Sus scrofa: one gene and its partner. The protein of the gene in region 1 purifies or fractionates together with the protein of each later gene. This does not show direct contact. Links are inferred from orthologs where the notes say so. Each region holds a gene or a part of one and is shown in the gene's direction. Other genes may lie near its edges. The genes, in order: CDCA5 and PDS5B.

What was found.
Region 2: the proteins of CDCA5 (region 1) and PDS5B purify together in Homo sapiens (affinity purification with western blotting; 4 studies listed by BioGRID and IntAct, with this or other methods). This does not show direct contact. The link is inferred for Sus scrofa from reciprocal best matches to the Homo sapiens genes CDCA5 and PDS5B.

Annotation. Positions count from the first base shown.
Region 1 is NC_010444.4:7,106,500-7,110,119, forward strand, and holds part of CDCA5 (sororin), read left to right. Parts: intron 1-1,279; coding exon 1,280-1,717; intron 1,718-1,883; coding exon 1,884-1,964; 3' UTR 1,965-3,620. UniProt on the Homo sapiens protein: Regulator of sister chromatid cohesion in mitosis stabilizing cohesin complex association with chromatin. May antagonize the action of WAPL which stimulates cohesin dissociation from chromatin.
Region 2 is NC_010453.5:9,013,234-9,017,520, forward strand, and holds the start of PDS5B (sister chromatid cohesion protein PDS5 homolog B), read left to right. Parts: upstream 1-1,460; 5' UTR 1,461-1,663; intron 1,664-4,287. UniProt on the Homo sapiens protein: Regulator of sister chromatid cohesion in mitosis which may stabilize cohesin complex association with chromatin. May couple sister chromatid cohesion during mitosis to DNA replication.

The DNA of each region.
Region 1 (3,620 bases):
GGAGGGTGGCCTCCCTGAGGAAGCAGCATTTGAGCTGAGATCGGAATTACGAGGAGCCAATATGTGAGCCTCTTAATGCTCATGTCAGATTAGGCACTGTTCCCACCCTTCCCGTGGCTCCTTGGGTCCCGGAGCAAGAGGCTCCATGGGTCTCCCCTTACTGTGGCCACAGAGCGCCTCCGACGCCACCATTACCACCTGAGCTGCATCTTCGGGTCCTCTCTTCACTTCTCCCTTGGGCCACGCTGGCCTTGTTCCTTGACCCCGATTGGCACACTCTCACCCCAGGACTTTTCTGTTCTCCCTGCCTCCCTCCCAGTTAAATTACTCCCTCAGCTCTTCAAGTCATACCTCACGTGCTACCCGAGTGAGGCCTCCGCTGCCCTGCACCTACCCGAGTTCCAGCCCACTCCCGGGGCACCCTCCCCTCCTCTCTCTCTTCCCAAGGTGCTTAATGCCTCTGATGGACGATATGACTCTCCCGGTTACCTATTTCCCCCGCTAGAGTGGAAGCTCCATGGAGCCAGGTTTTCTCTGTTTTGCTCCCTTCTGGCTCCCAGTGCCCAGAACGGTGCCTGGCAGGTGACCATTAAGAACTTATTGGCTGGGTGGACATTTTAGGAAAATCATCACCAGCTGTGAGACAAACGGATCAGAGTGGGCAGGGCGGCGAGGAGGGTGTTGAGCCGGAGGGACAGGGACCGGGGCACCCGTCACAGGTGGGTAGATTGCAGTCATGTTTTAGAGCCAGAGCCGGCGGCTCCAAGGGGTGGTGGCCGGTCCTCTTGGGGCACGAAAGTGGACTCAGGAACAGTGACCGGCTGGTCTCTTCCCCATCCCACATCTGTCTCTGGTCTGATGTATTTCCTGACCCATCTCCACTTTTCTTTTTTTTTTTTTTTTGCCTTTTCTAGGGCTGCACCCGCGGCACATGGAGGTTCCCAGGCTAGGTGTCTAATCAGAGCTGTAGCCACCAGCCAGAGCCACAGCAACGCGGGATTCGAGCCACGTCTGCGACCTACACCACAGCTCATGGCAATGCTGGATCCTTAACCCACTGAACGAGGCCGGGGATCGAACCCACAACCTCATGGTTCCCAGTCAGATTTACCCGCAACCTCATGGTTCCTAGTCGGATTCGTTAACCACTGAGCCACGACGGGAATTCCCTCCACTTTTCCATTCTAAAGTGCCCCCGGGTCGGTCTTTCCGCCCTAAATCAGGCCTTTCTCGAAGTAGAACAACTAACAGGGAGGCGTTCTCTCCTGTCCTGGTACAGATCGCGTTTTTCTTGGAGAAAGAAAACAACCCTCCTAGCAAGGAGCCTACTAGGGAGGACCTCTTCCAGACACGCAGTGTCCCTGTCACTCCCACCCCCACTCCTGTGCTGTGTTCCCTGAACGTTGAGTCCAATTCAGGGGAAGGAGACCTGGACGCCAGAGACTTGGAAATGTCAAAGAAAGTCAGGCGATCCTACAGCCGCCTGGAGACTGTTGGCTCCGCCTCCACCTCCACCCCGGGCCGCCGGTCCTGCTTTGGCTTTGAGGGGCTGCTGGCCACAGAAGACTTGGCTGGAGTCTCACCTGTGGTGGGTTCAAAGTTAACTGAGGTCCCCAGGGTCCCTGTGAAGCCCTGGGCACCAGACACGACGCTCCCTGGGATCTCGCCACCAGCCGTGAAGGAGAAACGGAAGAAGAGGAAGGTGCCAGAGATCTTGGTGAGTGAGGGGCAGGGGCACGGGGAGATGTGCCAGGCACTGCAGGGCCGAGGCTCAGCCCTGGCTGTTATGGGGGAAAGGCAGGGCCTCCAGGGTCTGGGACGAGGCGCTCTAGCCAATGTGCTCCCCTCCCCACTCACCTGCCCCCCCATCTCTCTTCCCCCAGAAATCGGAGCTGGATGAATGGGCTGCGGCCATGAATGCTGAGTTTGAAGCTGCTGAGCAGTTTGATCTCCTGGTTGAATGAGATGAGATGGGGGTGTACCTGGCCACGCTGCCCTCTTCCCCCTGTACATAATCCCCTCGCCCTGTGGAGAAGCCCCTTGGGGTCCCCTCCCTTGGTTTTGTTACCCGTGCACGTGCTATTGCTGCACACAAGGCCTGTCCTTTGGGCCGTCTTAGCTTCAGGAAACGGGGCCCACCTGGCCCAGCCACACACTGGTGTCCTGTCTGTAGTCGGTGACCTACGACCCTCTGCCCTCCTACCTCCTGGAGCATCCCAGCTGGTTTCCAGCTGGGCCACGGACTAGGGAGTAGGACTCACAGGCCCAGCCAGAGGAGGTTAAAGGGCCAGGAGTTGAGAGTGAAAGAGAGCATCTGTGCTCTTGTTGGGAAATGTGTCTGCTTTGCAGCAGCCCCACCAGAAATGGATGCTGAGGGCCACAGCCAGACTCAGGCTTTGTCTTCTGAGTTGCCGCTACTGGGGCTTGGTTCCCAGCCACGAGGCTCGGGTATCCTCTTAGGTTCTGTAGAGGGTCCAGGAGGACTGTCCCCGTGGATTGGAGGCTGTTCTCTCCAAGGAGGAAGCTGGACACGCAGCCTATGGAGTCTTGAGTTTTGAAGGAGGAAGGGAAGACTTGGCTGGGTCTCAGACTGTACACGTTTACTACATAGAAGCTGTGTTCGATAGTTTTGTGTGTTCTGCTGTTGGGATGTTCGGTTAAGCGCCAGGCTGGTGTGGCACTGACTGCTTGGGGCAAAGAAGGTGCCTCCAGATGCCACAGAACCTGAGGCTCAGGGCATTCGGACTGATGCCAGCAGAGGGCCGGAAGGGGTCCCTCTTGTCACTCACACCTGTTTGTTAGTCTGCTCAGCTCTGGAAGAAAAACGTAGGGATTGAATGGTCTGGGTGACATTAGTCTTTTATAAGGTTCTAGGAAGCTTTTCTCATGGGCCGGAAAGGGGCCAGGGTGGAGAGCAGTTTAAGTTTCAGCGTCCTGAGCATCCTCTCACATGAGGGCACTGCCTGAGGTAGGTGCTAGGGGCTGAACTCGGGCGGGAGGGGGGTCATCTCATTGTCTGGGGATCCCCCCTCCCCAGCCCCTGTTTCTCTTTGCTCAATATTGACAAAAGGTGAACTTTCAAAGGCTGTCCAACTACAACTTCCACCATCGTGCAGGCCACGGTGCCCTTGACGTGTGCAGGTTCATGGACATAGAGGCTAAGGGGCAGGGGGCTCGCAGACCGCAGAGGGCATCAGGGAAGCTGAGCACTTGCGTGTTAGGGTACCTGAAATGGCTCGAGCCTAGTGGGCGTTAATTAAACTCGGTGGGGCCTAGCGGTCCCCGGCCACCTGTCCAGCGCTTGGTGCTTTGTCAGACGCCATAAGCAAGCCCTTTTGCCAGGATGGGCCCAGATGCCCTTGACCACACCCGAGGAACCTTGTCTTCACTGGCTGGCGGCGGGACGGTTCCTGGGAGGTGTCTGTCCTGCAGAATCAGGAGTAGTCAAATGATGTTGAGTTGATGTCCTATCTGCAGACTTCTCTCTGCCCCTGACAAACTAAATGGAGTTGAGGGAAAACTGTCTTAAAAATTTTTTTAAACAATCAATTAAAGAGTTGCTGCCTGTTCATAGACTGTTTCTTTTGCTGGGTCAGAGCTGGAGCTGAGGGTGTGGTGTG
Region 2 (4,287 bases), on another chromosome or scaffold:
CAAGGTAATGCTGGATCCTTAACCCACTGATCGAGGCCAGGGATTGAACCTGCAACCTCATGGTTCCTAGTCAGATTCGTTAACCACTGCGCCACGACGGGAACTCCCGGTTTATCTATCTTAAATTATGCTGCATCCAATTGTACTGCTCCTGATGAACTACAATTTGCTTATTTTTTGGACTTTATTAGATCAATTTTAAGTTTATAGCAAAATTGAGAGTAAGATACAGAGATTTCTCATATACACCCTCCCCTCACATTCGGTTTTTTTAAAGCCCTAAAGACAGACATTTATTTTTAATACTAATTTCTTTTAATACCAACTTCAGATTTGTTTCCCTAAATAGTGTTGCTTTAAATGAAGGTTTATATTACTAATTTCTGTAAATCCATTTGCTATTGCATACAACATAGTTCCTTTTTTTTTTAAGCAACTGCTTCATTTAATCCTCAGAGATTTTTTTTTCTCTCTCCATCCTAATAGTAAATCTCCAGATGAACTTTCTTTTTTTTTTTTATTTTATTTTAATTTTTTTTGTCTTTTTGTCTTTTTTTTGTTGTTGTTGTTATTGTTGCTATTCTTGGCCGCTCCCGGCATATGGAGTCCAGGCTAGGGTCGAATCAGAGCTGTAGCCACCGGCTACGCCAGAGCCACAGCAATGTGGGATCCGGCCGCGTCTGCAACCTACACCACAGCTCACGCAACGCCGGATCGTTAACCACTGAGCAAGGCAGGACCGAACCGCAACCTCATGTTCCTAGTCGATTCGTTAACCACTGCGCCACGACGGACCCCAGATGAACTTTCAATATACTCGTAGTACAGCTGCAGAAGTGAGGAGCGGCATCCCCTGGAGGTGAAGGGGGTTAGAAATCCACCTCCCAGAAGACTTCCTTGTGTTCTTCAGATTATTTCTCCCTGTAATAAGGACAATTGTGATAAAATGAATGGAATGCTTTGTTACAGGTGGACTTGTTATGTCCTCGCAGCCACCGCCTAAACAATACCTGAAAATGGGACAGCTGTGAGATTAAGTAAAGACATAACATATAAAGTGCAAGAACAACAAAAACAAAAACAACTCAGGGCATTTTGAGATGACTAGGTCAGCGTTAGCAAGGAGCAAAGTAGTTAACATCAATTTTATTTACTTAGCACGATATTAGTATTGTTTCATTGTTTTAAAAAATTCCCAACTTTTATCCATAAAGGTAGAGGTATATAACAATTTACGTGGTTTTCGGCAAAAGTCAAGGAAGCCTTAGAAGCAGAGAAAGCATTGACAGCCCCGGGTCTCGATGTCACAGCGGCGGCGTGCCCGTGTGACTGCGTGCGCGCGCGACGGGCGGGGCGGAGGCGGGCACGCGCGGGCGCACGGGGCGGGGCGGAGGGGAGGCCGGCGGGCACGCGCGCGAGGCTGTCCGGTCGGCAGGGGGCGCTGCGCACCCACGCGGCGCTCTGCCTGCCCCCGGTGCTGTCCGCGGCGGTTCGATTGGAGCAGCCGCCGAAGAGCTCTTGGCGCCATTTTGAAGCGGAGAGGAGGAGGAACGGCGGGGCTGGCTGCGGAAGGGGAGGGGGGGAGGAGGCGATTGGATGCGGCGGCGGCGGCGGATCCCGGAGAGCAGCGGAGTGAGAGGAGTAACGAGTCGGGCACCCGGAGGTAGGAAACAATTCAGTTAACGGGAAGAAAATGTCTCTTCTCTCTGGTCGCCGCGCTCCATTTTTCAGCGCCCGCCACCGCGGCTGTGTCTGTGGCGGGGCTCAAGCGCCGCCCGCCTGCCAGCCGAGACTCGCTTCCAGGCATCGGGGGCTGCAGCCGCCGGCTGCCTGGCGGCGGCGGGGCCGGGAGGAGTGGGGCGCGGGCCGGGGGCGTGGGCCCGGCTGTGCGGTGGGGGGTGGGGAGGGCCCCTCGGCCGCCGTGTTCCCTCCACGCCGTGGGCTCAGCCGCAGCCTCTGGAAATTAAACTTGCCGCCCTGGCCCGACCGGGGCGCCCGCGGCGACGGAGGCGGCGGGCCGCGGGCGGTGACCTTGCGCGCGCCGGGGGTCCGCGCCCGCTGCCGGGCTGCCCGGCCGCCCCGCAGCCCGCGCCCCGCCGCCGCCCCTCCCCCCCGCGCCCGGCCGGCCGGCGGCTGTTTCCCGGGCGGCAGGCGGGCGGCGCGGCGCTCCTGTTGAATCCTCCCGCGGGCGGGTTTTCCCCCTTCCGGGCGAGGGGCGGGGAGCGCGGGTCCCGGCTGACCCCGGGGCGGTTTGCGGGCCTCGGCCCTTCCGCCCCCGCGGCCGGGTCCCCCGCGCCGGGCCCGCTCCGCGCAGCCTCTGCTCCGGGCGACGACAAGGGCCGATAGAGTGACATTTTTATACGGTTACTTGCCAGTCGCCAGAGATAAAGCGCGCTCACCGCGCCTCTTGGAGCTGGTGCTGGGGGCACCCGAGGACCTAGTTGGGGAAGAGTCCAGACGGGCTGGAGTGGCTCCTCCCTGGCGACCACTGAGTCCTAGCTTTCCTTTAGGAAGCCTCGGAATTGGAACGACAGTGCAAACGGTGTCTGGTTGACGTTTTTTTGAGTCTGTTATCTTACTGACACCTGAAAAGTTTCTGGTCGGGAGAAAAAGCTTGTTTGTGGTTCTGTGCTGCTTTGCCTCTTGGTACATGCGCTGAAGCCGCGACACGCTAAGCCCTGGTACAGTTATTCGAGGGAATGACTCCGAACCCAGAAACGTAGCACCTCCGCTTCAGAACTGCCGCTTCCTCCGTTCCTCCGCGGCCCGTGCAAACTCGGGATAGGGTTGGAAAGAGCGTTTTGGGCATCCTAATCAACTCCAAAAGAGAACCCTTTATTTGACTTTGAAAAACGTACTTCGAACGCTCTTATACTTTTATTATGAAATGATGGCTGGACGGTACTGTCCTGAACGACCCTACCAACCCTGTTTATTAAACCATTTCGGAAATTTTGGATATAGCCTTTGATTTCGAAGGTTTAGTCTGTGGTCTTGAGTGATTTGGGGGTCACCGGCTGTCTTCCTAATAATCATTAAGAATCCAAGTTTATTTATGTATATAAGAGGCGAGCTGTACATGAGTCATAATTATTTAAAACTTGAATGGCAAAACCCCCCCACAAAAACCCAAAACCTCGATGGCAGTATGTATAATCATTGTTCTCAGCATATGTATGTGAAGTCCCAAGATAGAGTATTTTCTGTTCTAACTTATACAGTAGTCAAGTAAAATAGTTAAAAACACAAAAATGGTATTAAGCAAAATAAGGGTTAGAAAAGACACTTATCTATGCACTGCATATGTCAGAAATGTTAGCATTTTTAGGAACCGTAAAATGAGCATTCTTATGGTGTATGCAGGTCAGTTTGTGGAACAGTTAATTTTGTATCACTGAGTAGTAGCAGAAAACCTAATTAAAATTTGTAGTGGTGAATATATAGGTGAAAGTTTCAACATGAAACTTCTTATGTTAAGATAGATTTATTTTGAAAAACTTAGGTGTAAAAAAATTAAGTCAGAACATTATTCTTTCAAAATGAATTTACAAGTGTATATAGAAAAGGTGCGTTTTAGACATTCTTTGATTACTGAAGTAGTTATTTATTTTTGCCTTTTTGATGGTTTAAAAAAATCTCTGGGTTTTACTTGAAGGTGTATTTTAAATGACATGGTAGTGTTTGTATTGACTTTTTTTTTTTGCCTTGAAGAATTTTTGTGCTCTTTCTTATTTTTCTTTTGTTGAGGTTGATTATCCATGCATTAACTTTGTTTTTACAGAAGCTTTTTATTAAATTAATTTTTTTAAACCATTCCCACCCCTACAGTAGCTTTTTACTCTTCTTGTCACTTTCATTCTTGTATGCTTATGCTTTCTTTTCCATCACTTTCCCCAAGAATTAGAGGAGATAAAGTGATGATAGTGATTCTTGTTGTCATGGGATGTTGTACTAGCTTATTTGATAAGTAGTTGTACTGAGTTGGATTTTGGATAACATTTTTAAGTTTAAAGTTGTTTTGAAACTTTAACAGTCACAAAGAGTTATGTTTTGAGGACTAGGCTTTATCAATAATTGGTTAGGCCTAAAATAAAGCAATACTCTATATTAGGGCTTGCTCTGGTGAAAAGTAAATGGTAACCAAAACTTTGTGTCAGGGGGAATATTTTGGAAGATTGTATTCTTTCTGCTTCTCCCTCTTTGAGTAGTAGGATTGTCCTGTGGCTTCCTTAGTGCTACTTTTTCATCATGTGTGCCTAGAACCTACAGGAGAGCTTACAGTGATTT